2 linked regions of the Diceros bicornis minor genome follow. The protein of the gene in region 1 purifies or fractionates together with the protein of each later gene. This does not show direct contact. Links are inferred from orthologs where the notes say so. Each region holds a gene or a part of one and is shown on either strand. Other genes may lie near its edges. The genes, in order: SRRT and ZC3H18.

Region 1 (9,075 bases):
AGAGAGAAGACAGGGACACTGCTGCCATCTCACCAGTCTCGTCTCATGCGCTTCTGCGGGGGGCTGAGCTCATGGCGGGGAGGAGAGAAGCGCTCTCGCCGATTCCGGTCATAGTCACGATATTCACCCCGACTGCGGCGCTCCCGGCCACGGTCCCACTCTCTGGCGATCAGGACAGGTAACAGTAAGGCACAGCTGGATATCCCGAGGTTACACTCCTGGACAGGCCCTTCCTGTCCTATCTGAGACACCAGACTAAAAGCCTAAAATGATAAAACTACTCTCTAAACAGAAGGACTCTTGCCTACTTCCATCACTGTAGCCATTACCCACAAACTGATAACTCTCCAACTGTCCCTCCCTCCAGCCTGGCCTTTTTCCTGAGCTCCAGACCAACATCAACAATTCCCCACTAGACGGCCATTGCGTGTCAGAATTGAGCCTATTATTTCTACCACTATGGGCCCGAATCTGCTTCCATCCTCCTTTCCCACTCTCGGTTATATCAACATATCACCACGTATCCAGTTATCAAGTGTCACCCTCACCACTAATTTGTTACGGGCTTGTTAATCCCCTGTCTCAAAGCCTATTAAAGCTGTCCTCTTCCTCGCCATCCCCACACACTCTGCCCTAGCCTGCGTGCCTGGTCCTGATCGTTTCTCCTACAACTGCAGCACTGGTTTTGCTTTCCTGCTCTGGTCTCTGCCCCTTCTCTACGGTCAAAGTGAATTTTCTCAAACACAAATCTGCTCATGCCATACCCTTGCTTAAATACACAACACTGTTCAAAACCTTTGTTCCTGGGTGTTATTTCAGGCTCTCCACCAGTCACCAGCCACCTCCATCCCCATCTTCACAAAATAAAAAAGAACATCCTTGCTCTAACCCAGTGGTTTTCAAACTTTTTGGTCTTGGGATCCCTTTACACTCTTAAAAAGTGTTGAAGATTAAAGAGTTTTTGCTTATGTGGGTTCTATCTACCCAGTATTCTAACCACATGTGAATACTGTATTCAAAATTGGAATAGAAAAAATTAACACCTATTAATTTTGACGTTAAATATTAACATAAACTACATCATTTTATGAAAAATGGCTATTTTCCAAAAAAATTTCAGTGAAAAAACTGGCATTGTGTTTCATTTACAACTCTTTTCAAGGTCTGGCTTAAGAGAGACAGCTGGAGTCTCATATCTGCTTCTACATACAATCTGTTATAATATGGTGTTTGGTTGAAAAATATGAAGAAAATCTGGCCTCACAGATATGTAGCTGGAAAAGGGAATACTTGAATAGCCTTTTCAGATAACTGGCGATATTCTTCCGTACTACCCAAAGCTTGAGAAATAGCTTCTTAAGGGCTAGTTGCAATGCTGAATCTGAAACCGTATCAATGAACATTTTGTACTCTGGTACATTAAAATCTATTGTTCTATCTTGCTCTTTGAATGGATCTTGACACATCTTTTTATATAATATCAAAACATCATACTCATTAGTATCACTTCGTATCTCATCAGAAGAGTCTTTAAGTAAGGGGAAGCTCTCAAGCTCACATTGGTAGATACAAGTTTTCCAAAATTTTAGTTTTCACTGGAAAGTTCCACTTCCTCACTGGCAACAAAACTGACAATTTTCCTTGCAGTAACAGATTCTCTTAGTTTGTTTTCAAGAAAATGTCTGTCAAATACCCAAATATGAATAACCACTGTTTGACAGTCTTTCATTCAGGTAAAACTGGCATTCCAGGAAAAAAAATATTGTTAGTTCAGCTCACAACTCGATCCCACAAATACTATTCCTCAGGGTGACCACTGTACTCCTATATGCAGAAGTACTTTATGCATCCTTCTCATCCATCATGTGTATTAAAAAGATGTACAGTCAAGAACCCAATTTAATAACATTAAAAATTTTCACTGCTTCATCAAGGACATTAAGTGAAACTGGATTGGTGCAAAGGCGTCAGCAGTTTAATTCGCCAATGCTATAGCATCACACGTGCAAATGTCACTACGGTGAAAACGACACTACCTAGTGTTACTATAACAACAGTTGTAACCTCACAGATCCCCTACAGTGTGTGGGCCACACTCTGAGAACCACTACTCTCAAAATATTAGAATATGTGCTCTTTTCTGCACACGGCATTATGTCCCCAATTCCAAGCTGTTCACGCCACTTGTGTCTGGGGAATTCCCACTCATCTTTCCAAGTCTTGCTAAGTGTCGCTTTCCTGTAGCTCTCCTCTTTTTTTCCCTTGGAAAATCTGTTCCCTCAACACTTACCATCTTTATAATGATCTCTCATATATACTCATTTGCAGCATACACCCAAGGCCATTTTGCCCCTGACTCCAAGCCCCAAACTGTAAACTCCTTAAGGGTAATAACCACATCTCATCCATCTTCAGAATTCAGAAGAGCACCTTTGATTTTCTTCTGACTTTCGTAGAAAATACCAAGGAACAAAGTGCCACATGGAGCGTCCACAGAGAAGAGACTCACTGACAGACTGACTGATTTACTCATTTTTCAAAATGATACTGAAGGAATAAATGTTATCACAATAAGTCACCTCAAACTCTTTTTTTCTGGTAATCTGTATCCAAATTGAGCCAGTGCCATCAGCTCACTGACTGGATATTTGTGATGCCCTTTAGATTAAAAAAATCTGCCACGGTTCCTCTTATCTTGATTACTTTATTTGAAACCACATTAGATGTTTCTTATGTTATAGTTAAGGAAACACCTTAACTGTAATTAACTCAAAAACATCCCAGAAAACTAATCACTAGCCAGTCAAACCTAATCAATTAACCCAACCATTAGCATCCAAAACTCTGATGTTAGCCAAAACAATTACAAGAAATTTAATCACATTCTGCCAGGGAACTGGCCTGACAACCTCACCAGTTAAAGGCAATTCTATATTGCTTTTTTTTTGAATCAAACTTTTCGAGGTATAATCTACAAACACTAAAATGCACACATTTTTAATACATGTATAAATATTGCTTTTTCATACTCAAACTCTCTTAGCTCTATTGCTTTGATCTTCTGGACATTTCAAACATCAAGCCATACCTAACTCTTCCGCCAACAGCAAATAGGTTGAACCACATGCAACCGTCAAGAATGAGCGATTTCACATGGTTCGCCCTGATAAAATTATAAACGCAACGCCATGAGAGTGGAGTACAACAGAATGAGACAGGGGCACAAAACTGAGGAAAAGCAGCGTCTCACCGGTCATTCCAGTCGTCCCCTCGACGTCTTTCATCTCTTTCCCGGGAACGGTCATAGTCGCTGCGCTCTCTTCTAAACTTGTCCCTGCGTCTACGATCATACTCGTCATCACTGTCACCCATGGCGCGGTCGCAGGGGGCCTGGAGCCCAGACAGGGGCCATCAGTGTATCGAACAATGCCGGGAGGAGGGAAGGCTCTCCCATCCGCAGCAGCACGCCCGCCCCGCTCCGCAAAGGCCAACCGGCCGCTGTCCCCGCCATCCTAAGCCCTCTGCCCCGACACTGCACTCGCCCCCACGGGCCCCCCGCCAGCCCCGGGCCCCTCTCCCTCCGGCCCTCCCCTCCCCCACCTGGGAGCGGCCGCGGCCGTTAGTCTCGCGCTCGGGCGGGCTGGTTTTCCGGGCGACCTGGGCCCGCCTCTGGCCTCGGGCACGCGGCGAGGACGGCGAGGAGAGTGAGAGGGAGACGCGGGTGTCTCAGCGAGGGGGCTGAGGAGATGCGAAGAAAGTGGGACAGCGACGATAGGCGGTCGGCGCGCGCCGCTCGCGCTGCGCCTGCGTCACCGGCAGCAGAGCGCCTCGAACCACAAAAGCCCCGCCCCACTCGCGGCCAGAACTGGAACTAAACCAAAGACGGAGAGACGGGGAGCACCGGGGCATGACGGGAAGGGGCGGGGCCCCGGAAGTCTCGCGCGCTTTCCAGGACGAGAACTGCGGGAGCGAGAGGAACTACGGGAAGCCGGCTGGACCAAGCATGGCCTCGAGAGGGCGGTAGAGCCCTCTGGGCGTGAAGCAGATCTTGCTCGGGCCGAGGTCGAAGGCTGGGATTCCCTGGCTCTGTCCGGAGCCTCTTCCAGTTTCCATCCAGCCTTTGCGCACCCCGCCTCACCTTCCTCTGGGCGCCTCCTGACCTCCTCCTGGGTGGTTTCGCCCCTCTCCGTGAGCAGGGCAGGGGCTTGGCGAATGCATTGGCTTAACGAGATCGAGCAACCATTTTAAAGCATCTCCTCCCACCATTTTGTGCTCCCACTAGATAACCAGCTTTTGTTGGTGCCTCCGTACACGCTACCTGCGAAACCCCTTGTTCCTGCTCTTCTTCGAGAAAGGCGCCCCGTCTTTGAGCAAAACTGGCAAATCTCAGTCTTATTCCCAATCAGTACTTTGATGAGACAGGTTGTAGGTTGAGCTCCCTACCAATAGGCAGGATTTTGCTTGCCCCAGGTTAAATAACACCACAGGGATACCACGTCCTGTTCAGTGAACTGAGTGTAAAGACTTAAGACTAGGAAATACTGCCTCCCCAGAGCGTGCTGCTGCAGCCTTGCTCCCAGCACCGAGAGGAGGGGTGTCCTTACACCAAACTACATTAAAAAGAGTGTATAGTAGAGTTACAAGAAACTGGACTAAGACTAAGAAGACCAGGTTCTGATCTTGGTTCTGCCATTTGGGAAGCATGCAGTGTGGGGAAGTCACTTCCCAGCTAAAAATACAGACAGTCGCAACAATCGTGCTTGTGTTGGGCTGCGGTGAAAATCAGATGAGACAACAGACTTCAAAGTGTTTTGTAAACTCTTGAGGGATTGTTATTTCACGATTGGAGGAAGAGCCTTGATGACAAGGCTGTAAAGGTAGTTGTCAGGGAGCGTGGTCCCTGGGAACGGAGGAGAACACAGCAGGTGCTTCTAGGAAGACTCAGCAGTCGGTGGTGACGGTGGCTGAGAGCTCCTGGATGCGCCAGGCACTGCAGGCCTTGCACAAGATGTGCCCATCCAGTGGGTAGCAGCCCTGACACTCACCCTCAGAGGACAGCAGCAGCCCACACTCCTGTGTGAAAAGAGGCAACAGCTTTCCATCAGGCCCAGACCCCTGGGTTCCTTGTCCCTTGTGCTCTACCATACCCAGGACCCCAGACCCTGAGAACCTCTTTTCCCATCGCCCAGGCTCCCTGACCTCACACTTGTAACAGCCAATGTGAAAACTGCGATCCAGAGCAACAATTCGCACCGTCTCCTCCTGACCTGGTTCAGGCATGATGGCCCCACCACACACTGAGCATCGTGGGGCAAACTTCCTGGGGTGGAAGGGAACCAGGAGGCTGTCAAGCCACAGGCTTGGAGAATACTAACAAGGGAGTCCTGAGAAGGTGGGATGCAGGAGGGAACAGCAGAGGCCAGAGGTGTGGTCTTGGATCTTGGGGATGAGAGTGACGTTAACAAAAATGAGACATGGCTAGGGGTGGGAAACAGGAGAGGCTGGTACTGAGACATTAAGGAGAGAGGAGGAAGATAGGAAAGGCCAGACATCCTGAGACAAAGGTGGGGGACCCAGCCTGACCTGTGGAAGTCCTCAATGCAGTGGATCTGGCTGGTGGCATCCACCGTGAAAGGGATGCCATCGAGGCCGCGGTGGCACACCACACAGGTGAAGCAGCCAGGATGGTAGGCCTTCCCCATAGCCCGCAGGATCCGGTCTAGGATGGGTTGGGAGCATGTGGAGCACTTCTCCAGGGTGGCCTGTTGGGAAGGAAGGGAGGAAGGTTGAGGGCTGGGGTGACCCATGGCAGCCCCACAAGCATCCTGCCAGCCCAACCATCTGTTCGTGTATCCACCTGCGTGCGATTCAGTGAAAGGTGGCAAGTCTCAGCAATGCAGCTTCATGGACAAGTTATTTAACCACTCTGAGCTTCAGTTTCCTTCAGTAGTAATATCTGCCTCACAGGGGTATGGTGGGAATTTAACACTTTCCTTAACTCTAAAATAAATGCCTCACACTTGTAAAGGGACTGTGGTCCTTCCCTCCAGCAGGCAGTATTTAGCTACTTAAGTCCTCCATTCTTCTTGTACATCAGTTTTAGTCCCCTACCTTCGAGTCCTGTTCCTCTTTGGGGCTTGGACATCTAGTTCCCACCTTGGATGGAAGCCCCCCACCCCAACCACTCACCACGTAGCAGCTCTCACAATATGCCCTCCTCTCCACAGCATAGAAATGCTGGCCCCGAAGATGGGCCCGGCACGTAGAACACACAAAGCAGCCAACGTGAAAGACGCGGTCCAGGGCCACAACCCCAGCCCCATCCCCAACCACATCTTCTCCGCAGCCGCCACACCGGCCTGGGGACAGGGAGGGACAGGGTCAATCTGCACAAGCTAGGAAGCTGGATCGGCTGTCCCTCTGACTCTCTAGCCCCACCTCCCCCTTCCCACCCCACCGGTGGGGTCAGCTCACCGAAGTACTCCCCGCTGGGCGGGTGGTTCATGTCATGCACCAGCTTCTTGGTCAGCCTCTCAAGCTCCTCCTCGGGAGGCTGGCTCAGGGGCACCTGGGAAGTGAGAATCAGGGGTTCGGCCCTACCTCTAGCTCCTGACCCTGTGAAAATCGCTGAGGGTGACCAGGCAGTTCTGCCCAGAAAGCTCATCTGAGAACGTCTCAGCCCAGCGTCCAGGCGGCACACCTCGGGGAGCCAGGGTACAGCTCCAGTCCCCTCCGTCCTGTACTTCCTGACCTGCCCACACTCTCCGGGGATCTAGAGCTCCGACACCTCAGACCTCTGACAACCAGGACATTAAACACCACTCCTCACCCCGCCCAATCAGTGTCCAGTTGTCTGTGAGGACCCCAAACCCCATACACGGTGCTTACCGGGGGCCCATACCCGCCTCCTCTTCCTCCTCCTGCATGGCCAGAGACCCCGGCAGCCTCCTCTTCACTTCCCGGCCCTGGCTCTCGGTGGCTCCTATAGCCAGGCCCCCAGACTTCACCTCGGCCTGGGAGAGGAAAGTGGGGGCCCGGCAGGGACCCGGAGGCCTGAGAGGCCCCCCGCCTGGGGGGGCCACAGCCTTTCACTGGTTGTGCCACCTTCACTTGCACAGGGAAGGCAGGGCCGGCGGGCGTGCTTGCTGTTGTGTAGGAGGCCGGAGTGGGGCCCCCGTAAGTGGATGCTGGGAGCGGTGGGGAAGGAACACCCCCTCCATTCGGCTTCAGGGAGCCCACGCGGTAGGCAGGGGGCTGAGGGGGCTCATAAGCCTGAGGAGAAACGCAGACCAGGAGTGAGCTGGGCCCATTCAGGACACACACCTGTGGAAATGCCCCACCCATGTGTGTGGCACCCAGGTAAGTGCTGGTTTTTGACAACGGCCCGCCTTCAAGTGGCTGACAACCTAGCAAGCTCTGGTGGCCCAGCTTCTTCCACAAGGTAGAGGTGAGGGGTGGACTGGGTTGAGAATCCAGAGAAGGGACCAGGCTAGGGGGGCGGGTGGGGGGACAGGGGACAGGGAGCAGAGGAGGGACGGGGCAGGACAGGGGGTCACCTGCCGGTCAGGCTGCCGTGGGGCATGACCACGACCCCCATCCAGCTCAGCCAGCATGCTGGTCAGCGAATCTATCTCAGCATCCAGACTTCCTGGGCGCAAGCCCCCTCTGTCTGGGGGGAGCCCCTGAGGATGGAGCAGAAGCAGGGAGAAGCAAATCACACGGCCCTCTTCTCCTGCCCTGCCCTCACCCCCCCATCCCGGTTCTCACCTGTGAACGCTGGGGTGCTCCATGGCACCCCACCCAGGCCAGCCCCCGATCCTCTGGTCCCCCTGGGGCCTGGTAACACTGCTCAGATGGGAGACGGCAAAAATTGACCCTGGGGTGGGACTGGAGTGCTGCGGTGAGGGAAGAGAGAGGAAGGGTAGATGGGGAAGGAGACGAGGGTGACACTTGTGGAGGACGCCCTCTTAGGTCCCTCGTCTCCCCTCCCCCTCACCCCCCCCCTCCCGCACCTGGGCTCCGAGAATGGGACAGGAGGTGGGGAGGGCTGCGAGAGGGCAGGGGCGGCTAGTCCCAGCCTGGCTCCGGGGAAGGGGCGGCTGGGCAGGCTGGGCAGGAGGCAGGAGCCTCAGGGCAGAGGTGGCCTCCTGGGCCCACTGGGGACTGCCTTACCTGCTCCGGGGGCTGGTGGCGGCCCCGGGGCGCCCCGGGGGAGCACTCTCCCCTGAGGGGCTCTGACGGGCTCCAGCTGCTTCGGGGGGAGCCAGGTGGGCCCCGACATGGCCTGGAACGGGGGACCTCCAGACCGCGGTCAGGGCCTCACGGAGCCCTGAGCCTCTGGCCTTGACCCCTTCTTCCGTCCCTCGTTTGGGACTCCAGGAAAGAAACTTTTTCTGGCTTTTTTTCCTCTTCCTCCCCAATTTTGGGGATGGCCACGCCCCCTGTGACATCATCGCATTCCTGGGGGAGGGTCACGTGGCCCCCTAGGCCCTAAACTGCTGTCCCTCCCTAGTCAGCCCCCTCCTGCTGAGCGGGGAGGGCTTTCCGCGGAGCCGGCGTCTGGGAGGCTGCAGGCAGCCTCCATTTCCCCGAGTCCCCCAGGCCCTGCGCCCCGCGCCCCAGGTCCTGCCCATGGCCACCTCGACGCTGGGACGCTCTGGCGCTCCTCTTTCCCACATCCCCCCATACAGATGTCTCCCTCCTCCCGTCCCATCTACCCACCCCCCAGCAGTGCTCCGCCAGCCCGTAGTGTTTTGGTCTTTTATTCACGTTCAGCAGTTAGAAAAATAAAACAGAACACAAATATCACAACCTCAGGGGTCAGTGAGTCTGTTGGGTGAGGGGGAGACTGAGGTAGCCTGAAGTCACGAGCGGAGACCCAGCCCCGGACAAGGCACCGGTGAAGGGAGGGAGGCTGACGTGGCCAGACAGCTGCCCTGCACGCGTGCACCAGGGCCCCTCTCCCAGAGACAGCAGATGCCGCAGATCAGGATCACCTAATACCTCCACCTGGCTCCGTGTACCACGTGTGGGGCAGGCGGGGAGGCGGCCCTTCTCCTCCTCATCTGCTACTCA
Region 2 (8,847 bases), on another chromosome or scaffold:
AGCCCTTCTAGAACCCAAAACACACATTTTCATACAGATGGAAAAGTTACTATATGATCTGTGTAAACTATTAGTTAAAAATGGTGATCATCACATGGAGATTCGACTTGTAACAACAGTCATTTATTTTATGATTTTGAACTTGTCTGAAGTTTGAATCTTAGGCACTTACACCAAACATGAATCCAATAAAAGAAACCCCCAAAAGGTGCACACCTTTATACTAACACCACAGGAAGTGCTGACTTAAATTAAGATCCTGAAAGGCTGGTGTATTGTGGCATGGGAAATAATTTCAAGAATTTTATTGAGCCCGCATGCCCTCCACAGTTTGAATTACGGAAATCACTTCGACATTCCAAGGACGCAAAGGTAACTTCCCAACTCTCACAGGCAGTTCTCAGCGCTGACCAGAAGGTGGCAGAGCCTACGGTCCTGAGTGCACCTAGCACCATCAAGGGGGGCCTAGAGCTCTGTCAGCGGTGCTCAATCAGCCTTTGCGAAAGCATGGACTGCTCTGAGAATGGGATGAAGGAGATGGCTCCTCTGCCTAGAAAAACCTGGACATATGCAATTTATCTTCCACTTTAGGGAGTTCAAAACCTCCTGAGGTCCACTCATAGGCCCCAGATTAAGAACTCTTGCCCTAGGCATACTGTCCATTTGTCTATTATGTATCCATACTTACCACACTGTACTGCGACTGTTTGCAATCTGTTTGCAAAGTCTGTTGCGAGACTCCCTCAGCTCCCATGAAGTGCCTGAGCGGAAGGGCTCACACTCACCTCTGTGCTCCCCTAACTCAGCAAGTGGCTGGCACTTAGGAGCAGAGCTACCACAAAACTGACTGTCTAAACTGGGACACGCTTGAGACTGAAAGGGGGCATTAACAGCCACACAGGCATGATCAGGAGCTGTCCTAGACATACTGGGACATAGTCACTGTATGTCCTGACAATTTCCTGAGGAAAGGAGTCACATCTCTTCTCTCCCTATGGAACCTCTTGGGATTTCATAATCCGAAGCTGCACAGAACTGAACACCTTGCAGAAGAAAACAAGCCGAAGAATCTACCTGTTTATTAGAAGCACCCTGAGTCACACCTTGCTGTGCAGAAGAGGAGAAGTGTCACTGGAGTCAGAAGGTGGCTTCTGTTCCAGGCCCGCTCTGGGCAGGTTAATTGTCTCTCTGGATGTCTGCCCTGTTGTGAAATTAATTCAACTTGGCAAATATTTAAGTGGGTGCTCTCTGTCAGGTGCTGGGAGAAACCTGTGGCCTCTTAAGTGTAGAAAACGAAATGGAGGTCTGGCCATGTCTTCACCACTCCCAGGCTCACAGCTCTCATACAACCGCCTGCACCCACTCCCGGCAAAACTGCGCACCCTTTAGTCCTCTGATCCCCAAGATGGAATAATGAGTGTCCATCCTTGTGTCTCCACTGCCTACTGCATTTGGCAGACAGTGATTAATAAATGCTTGTTGAATAAACGAATGAATAAATGAGAAAATCTCGTGACTTGATAAACTACCTGTCGCTTACCAGAAATATCTGAAAGAAGTGCCAGTTTTAGAAGACTATACCAGAACTCAGATGCAGAGTGGGGCTGTCTCATTTCCCAGCCGTCACTCCGGAAGGCTGCACATTGATTCCAATGGCACTGCTAAAGCACAGAACATTTTGGGAACCTCTCTCTTTGAGTGACCTGTAGAACACTCTCTTGGCGCTCTCAGTGGCAGCAAGTCTTCCTCAAGGTGGGTCACTTTGAGAAAGCACAGGAAGCCATTCAGAGGTGGTGAGGTGAATTACCAAGCCAGATAAGACAATTTTTGGTCAAACATGGGGTGTGACTATTGAATGAGATTGATTTTCTCATACGCTTATATATTTACTACCAAAACGGGAGTTCTAAAGAGGTTTTGGCAAAGGAGCACCAGTGAAATGCAAGGTACCCTTCTGGGATAACGACCTTCAACAGAGCAGACCCTATTTGAATGCTTCAGTTCTGGTACAGCTGGTTAAAGTCCTGGTTCATAACTTCATGGATTTACAACATCCAAAGGAAGGATGTCAAGGCTGGTGACAGCACCCCCAAAATGACTAAGCTTGACTACCAAAAATTCCCCAAGTAAGTCTCACATTGAGACGATATGTAGCTGTGAAAAAGTAAACAAAAAACCTCTTTAAACGTGAGCAAGGCCACAGCTTACTTGTTTGCCCTCTGAAATGATTCCACAAAGCTTTCTTACAATGTTTGAGCATTTCCCACCCCAAACTGGAGATGAGTTCCAGCCTTTGGGACACATACCATTGGTTTCCATAGTTGGGTGGGCTACATACGTGCTCAGATTGTAAAACTGTCAGACAGACTCCCCTCCCAGGGCTTGGAGGTGGGAATCAGCCTGGGTCCAGGCTCACCCTGAATCCCAACCTCGGTTCTGGGAAAGGACCACTCTGCGGGAACTATGATGAAGGTGAGTCTCTAAGAAGAAAGGATGAGAGCCATTGCTACGCTCCCAAACAGTACTTCGGATGTCAAACACCCTCCTCTTCCTTTTTCCCCAAACGCATCTGAAGTCTGACCTACTCTTGCAAATGAGTTTGCTGGACAAAGCTCATTTAAAGTGATCAACCAGCCTACCCAGCAAAGTCGGCCGTCATAAAGTATTCAGGAAAAGTTAAGTCTTAGCAGGAGCAAGACTGGCAGTCTCCCACTCAGGTTCGCCCAGCATCACAGCTGCAGTAGTTTATCCCAAGGACCCGGCATCATTCCTCCGGCTTCTGACCAAAGGCGCAGGAAAGTTTCACATCCTAAGAGAGTGGCGCGCGTCTTGGGGCACAGCCAGCGCGTCCAACCTGTGCACACTGTGACGTCGAGGGAGCAAGCTCCAGGAGGCTCCAGCGAGCTCAAAGTTCCCTAAGAGCCCATCGACAGCCCGGCCGGCCTCCTCTGAGGGCCGACCCGCGTGCCCCCCCTGCGGGCGGCAAACATGTGCCCCGCGAACGTCCCGGAAGAGAAATGACAGCTCCGGGAGAACCAACTCCACGGCAGGGCGCCAAGGCAGCCGCGCGGGGCTCGAGTTCCGAGGGGTCCAGGGCTCTGGGCTGGCTCGCCGCGGACGGAGCGCGGGATCGTGCCGCTCTCACGGCCCCTTCCCGGGGCCCGAGAGCCACGCTTCGGCCGGGGGCGCAGCCCGGAGCGCTCCCCGGAGGCGGCGGCGGCGGGGCTCCCGGGCCTGGGCTCCGCGCCGCCGCCACGCTCCCCGCCCGGCCGTCTCGGCCTCCCCTCCCCACCGGCCCGGCTCCCGCCGCCGCCGCCGCTTACCTCAGCGCGAGGGCGGGGAGGGGGCCACGGCTCCGCTGGGGTCTGGACGGCGCGGGGAAGGCGTCCCTCGGCCCTTCCGCTCCTCACAGTCTCCGGCTCCAGGCGCGACGCGGGCGGAACAAACGGGCTGCACTACCCGCGGGGGCCGGCCATTGTGCGACGTCATCAGGCCGCGACCGCCGTCCTCCGGGCCGGCGGGCTTCCCTCGCCCGCCCCGCCCTCCGCCCGCTTCCTTCCGGCTTCCGTGCGGCCCCACCGCGCGGCCCCGCCCGCGCGGCGCGCGCGCCCGCCCCTCCACGGCGCAGGCGCCGCCAGAGGCCACGCTCCCGGGGGCGGGTCTCCGAGCCCGCGCGCCGCCGGCCGCCGGACGACGCCTGCGGGGAGGGTCAGCGCGCCGCGCGGTCACATGACGGGCCGCGAGGTCACGTGACGCGCGGAGCAGCCGATTCCCGCGTGGCGGAGTCGTGCGGTGAGTGGGACGGTGGACCTTCTGCAACGAAGGTGGTTTAAGCCTCAGAGCTTGCATTTTAACTCCTTCTGTGGGAGTAAGGAGCTACCGCCCGACAAATTAATCATTTTTGAGATATGGAGTTTAAATGCCAAAGCTTAAACATTTTTAACTATTTCCACTTTCTTAAAAATAATCAGCTCAACACAAGAATTAATTGTTTTTTGAAATATTGAGTTTAAATATCACAGCTTATAATTTTTAACTATTTACGTGGGACTAAATAGCTCCAGCTGTATTAAATATAATCAGCTCAACACAAAATTAATCATTTTTGAGATAGAGTTTAAATATCAAAGCTAAAGTTTTAAACTATTTCCATCGGACTGGATAGCTCCGCATCTTACTAAATGTGATCAGCTTAACCCGATGTAACCTTTCCGTGATCAGAAGGACATCATGTGATACTTGGAGCATTTTTACAGCTCTACAACTACCTTCACAGACCCTCAGGGTGGAGCCTCCTGGAGCCACGCTGCAGAGGATCACACAGTGTGCTCTCCATTTTAGAGATGAGAAACTCGCACTTAGAAGGGTTCCGAGCTCGGTTGAATGACCTGCTTTCCCCACCTTAAAATTCTTAGTCATTTTTGAACAAGGGGCCCATGTTTTCATTTTGCACTGGACCCTGCAACTTATATAGCCTGTTCTGGGGGTATCTAAGGGTTTTGGGGAATGGTGAGCAGAGCAGGCCTTTCCTCACCCCATCTTCCTCCTCCAGGAAATGTGCAGTACTAAGAAGGGCTCCTCCTTGGGGCAGCCTGCCTCCATTCAGCCCACAAATATAATGTCCAGCACATGGTGAGGTTGAATGAACTCATAAATGTTTGCTCCATGTTTTCCGAATGAATGAATGAGCAGGGGAAGAAATGAAGGTATTAACACAGCTAATGCACTCCTTGGTGTCTAACCCAAGAGAAATGACACGTATCTAGACAAAACCAGAGCACAAATGTTGGCAGCAGCACTGTTCACAGTAGCCTCAAAGTGGAAACAACCTAGATGTCCACGCCCGGATGAACGGATAAACAAAATGTGTTCTAAGTATACAGTGGAATAACTATTAAGCCATAGAAAGGAATGAAGTCATTATAAGAAGAGATAACAGAGAGAGACCCCCCCCTTCTGTCTCTCCCTTCCCCACCCCACCTCCACTGTGTGAGGACACAAGAAGGCAGCATCTGCAAGCCAGAAGAGAGCTCTGGCCAGACCCCTGCTACGCTGGCACCCTGATCTTGGACTTCCAGGCTCCAGAACTGTGAGAAAGTAAATTTCTGTTGTTTAAGCTTCCCAGTCTATGGTATTTTGTTAGGGCAGCCCGAGTTGACTAACACATTCCATCTACATGAAATATCCAGAAGAGGCAAATCCATAGAGTCGGAAAGTAGAGTAGTGGTTACCGGGCCTGGAAGGAGGTGGAATGGGGGGTGACTGCTAAATGGTGTTGAAAAAAGAAACAGGCCCAAGCTGGAGTCAGCAAACCAGGACTTAATTGCAGTTTCAGCCCCTCCCAGGAATGTGACCTTAAAGGATCAGTCTGGAAAATCCTGGTCAACACTAGTGAGGTCATCTGATAAGACCCCTGAGCCCTTCCCCCAAAGAAAGTTGACCTTGCCTGAAACAATCCTTTCTTTTTTGTTTGCTAGTAACTTTCTTGTCCCGCCCAGTTTCTGCCTATCAATACCTTCCATTTCAACAACTCTCTGCTTGCTAGATGGGATGCTGCCCGATTCATGAGTCATTGAATAAACCCAATCAGATATTTAAATTGACAAGGTTGAATTTTTGTTCATTAACAGATTTGGTGGCAGCAGCACAACCGAAGGAGACTTCCAGCAGCTTTGGGAATAGCAAGAAACACAGGCGTGGTGCCTGAGAACCCTTTGAGTTCTTCTGTCTTTCTCGCCATTTCTGAGGGCCATTGGTGAGTTCCTCTCAGTTTGCGCTATGCAGTCTTTGCCTCCAGCTCTTGATCTAAGTGGCTTTCCTTTACAGGGCAGGTCAGCTTGAGGTTCTGCCCAGAGCCAAGCCTCTAGCCTTTCAGACTGCTTTGTCAAAATTCCATGGGTATTGGTGGTGGTTACTACCAGAGTCAGATTGGGTCCAACTTAAAAACCAGACTGGGTCCAGGATCACACTGGGTCCGACTTGAGCTGGACTGGGTCCAATTCAGGCAGGGCTTGGTCCAGTGGGAGGCCTTGGATGAATAAAATTTTGTTCAAACGGAATCCTTTATATCCAAAGAGCTGAGTGCACCACCTTCTGGCACACTTGCTGATTTTATGTACAGTCATGCACCACATGATGACGTTTCTGTCAACACATATATGATGGTGGTCCCATAAGATTATAATGGAGCTGAAAAATTCCTATTACCTGGTGACGTAGCTGTCGTAAGGTCGTAGTGCAACAAATTACTCCCACGTTTGTGGTGATGCTGGTGTAAACAAACCTACTGTGCTGCCAGTCATATAAAAGTATAGCACATAAAATTATGTATAGTACATAATAGTTGATAATAAATGACTATGTCACTGGTTTATGTATTTTCTATACTATACTTTGTATTGTTATTTTAGAGTGTGCTCTTTCTACCTAGAAAAAAGGTTTGCTGTAAAATGGTGAGCTGTCGCTGGCAGTAGCCTCATATGTCTCGTGCTTACCATGTATCTTGATTGCATCATTTTCTCTTGTGCTTGATTTAATCTCTTATTCTTTTCTTCATCATGGCCCCTGAGTGTACAAAATCCACTACTAATGTTGCCAGTAAGAGGCCACGTCAAATGATTGACCTGGAAGCAAAATTAAAAGTGATTAAAGAACACAAAGGTGGAAAATCAGTGATGATTATTGCTCGCCAGTCAGGCATGTCCCATTCCATCTTCAGGACTAGCTATGATCTTGAAGAACGAGAACAAAGTGACAGAAGCTGTTAAAGGATCTACTTCATTGAAGGCAATGAGACTAGCAAAAATTTGAGAAGAGCCTATATCAGACATGGAAAAACTTCTAATGACCTGGATTGAAGACCAGACACCGAAGTGCATCCCTCTCAGTATCATGACAGTCATGGCCAAAGCAAAAAGTTTGTTTGCGACGTTGAAAGAAAAGGCTGGACCTGACTATGATGTTGAATTAACTGCTAGCTCTGGGTGGTTTGAATGATTCAGGAATCATTGTTCATTACATAATGTGAAAGTGAGGGGTAAGTCTGCAAGCGCTGATGTGAAGGCAGCTGAAGAATTTTTGGAAACTCTGGATAAGCTTATTGTGGAGGAAAACTGCTTGCCAGAGCAAATATTCACCATGGATGAAACTTCCCTATTCTGGAAACAGATGCCTGAAAGGACTTTCATCCATAAGGAGGCCAAGTCAATGCCAGGTTTCAAGGCTTTTAATGATAGGATAACAGTCTTGCTTGGGGGCAGTGTTGCAGGCTACAAGTTGAAACTGTTTGTGATCTGGCATACAAGTGTGTCAGTAAGCACACACTGCGAGTGCACTACAGGAGCAATAAGAAGTCACGGATGGCCCAGCTCCTCTTCCAGGATGCCCTCCTGAATTGCTGTGCCAGTGAAATGGAGAAGTACTTTTTGGAGAATAAGATATCTTTCAAGAATTTTCTTATTGTTGATAATGATCCCAGACATCCTCCTTTTATTAGTGATCTTCATGCCAATATCAAAGGGGTGTTTCTTCCTTGAAACACCACCTCTTAGATCCAACCAATGGATCAAGGAGTTATAGCAGCTTTTAAGACCACCTACCTGAGGAGGACCTTTGCAGGCTATTGCTGCAACTGAGGTAGACACTGAGAAGACACTGGTACAATTCTGGAAAGATTACAACATCTATGATTGCATCAAGAACCTTGCTTGGGGTTGAAGTAATGTCACTAAGGAGTGCATGATGGCATCTAGAAGAAGACACTGAAGAGGTTCATCCATAACTTCAAAGGTTTTAGCAAGGATGAGGAGGTTGCAAAAATCAACAAGGGGGGTTGGCCCATTGGCATAATGGTTAAGTTCATGTGCTCCACTTTGGCAGTCAGGGTTTGCCGGTTTGGATCCTGGGTGCGAACCTATGTACTGCCCATCAAGCCATGCTGAGGTTGCCTCCCACATAGAGCAACTAGAAGGATGTGCAACTATGACATACAACTATCTACTGGGCTTTGGGGAGGGAAAAAAAAAGGAAAAAGGAGGAAGATAGGTAACAGATCTTAGCTCAGGGCCAATCTCCCTCAAAAAAAAAGAAAAGACAGATCCATAGAACTTAATATTAGAAGATGCTTTAGATAAGTAAACTTTGAGAAAAAAAAATCAACACGGCTGTGGTTGAGATGGCAAACAACTTGAACCTGGGTGTGGGTGAGGCTGACATTGAGGAGCTCCTAGAGGTGGTTCCTGAGGAATTGACTAACAAGGAGTTGTTGGAAACGGAACAGGAGCACATAGCTGAAGAAGAGGCAAGAGAAGGGGAAACTGTGGGAGAAGAACAACCTCCAAGAAAATTCACAGTGAAGGCTTTAGCAGAAGCTTTTGCAGACCTCAACAAACTCCTAAAGATTTGAAAACACAGACACCAATACCAAAAAGTTTTCACTAATAGAGAGGAATATTCACAGTGCATTGTCTGCTTACAAGCAAATCTATGATGAAAAAGAAACACCAAGCAAACCACCATGGACATATATCTGAAAAGAGTGACATCTCCTCAAGAAGAGCCTCAGGCAGGTCCTTCAGGAGGTATTCTAGAAGAAGGCATTGTTATCATAGGAGATGACAGCTGCATGTATGTTAGTGCCGCTGAAGACCTTCCAGTGGGACAAAATGCGGAGAAGGAAGACAGGATATTGATGATCCTGACCCTGTGCAGGCCTAGGCTAATGTGTGTGTTTGTGTCTTAGTTTTTAACAAGTTTAAAAAGTAAAAAAATGAAAATAAAAAACTTTAAAAATAGAAAAAAGCTTATAGAATAAGGATATACAGAAAGAAAATATTTTTATACAGCTGT

The links.
Region 2: the proteins of SRRT (region 1) and ZC3H18 purify together in Homo sapiens (co-immunoprecipitation; 4 studies listed by BioGRID and IntAct, counting the BioPlex papers as one, with this or other methods). This does not show direct contact. The link is inferred for Diceros bicornis minor from reciprocal best matches to the Homo sapiens genes SRRT and ZC3H18.

What each region holds. Positions count from the first base shown.
Region 1 is NC_080765.1:5,028,260-5,037,334, forward strand, and holds the start of SRRT (serrate RNA effector molecule homolog), read right to left. Parts: upstream 3,750-9,075; 5' UTR 3,601-3,749; intron 3,391-3,600; 5' UTR 3,373-3,390; coding exon 3,251-3,372; intron 163-3,250; coding exon 34-162; intron 1-33. Other genes in the region: TRIP6 (thyroid receptor-interacting protein 6), read right to left, coding at 4,942-5,073, 5,200-5,320, 5,584-5,762, 6,190-6,359, 6,475-6,568, 6,889-7,272, 7,557-7,682, 7,768-7,895 and 1 more. UniProt on the Homo sapiens protein: Acts as a mediator between the cap-binding complex (CBC) and the primary microRNAs (miRNAs) processing machinery during cell proliferation.
Region 2 is NC_080771.1:37,022,319-37,031,165, reverse strand, and holds the start of ZC3H18 (zinc finger CCCH domain-containing protein 18), read right to left. Parts: upstream 3,496-8,847; 5' UTR 3,324-3,495; intron 1-3,323.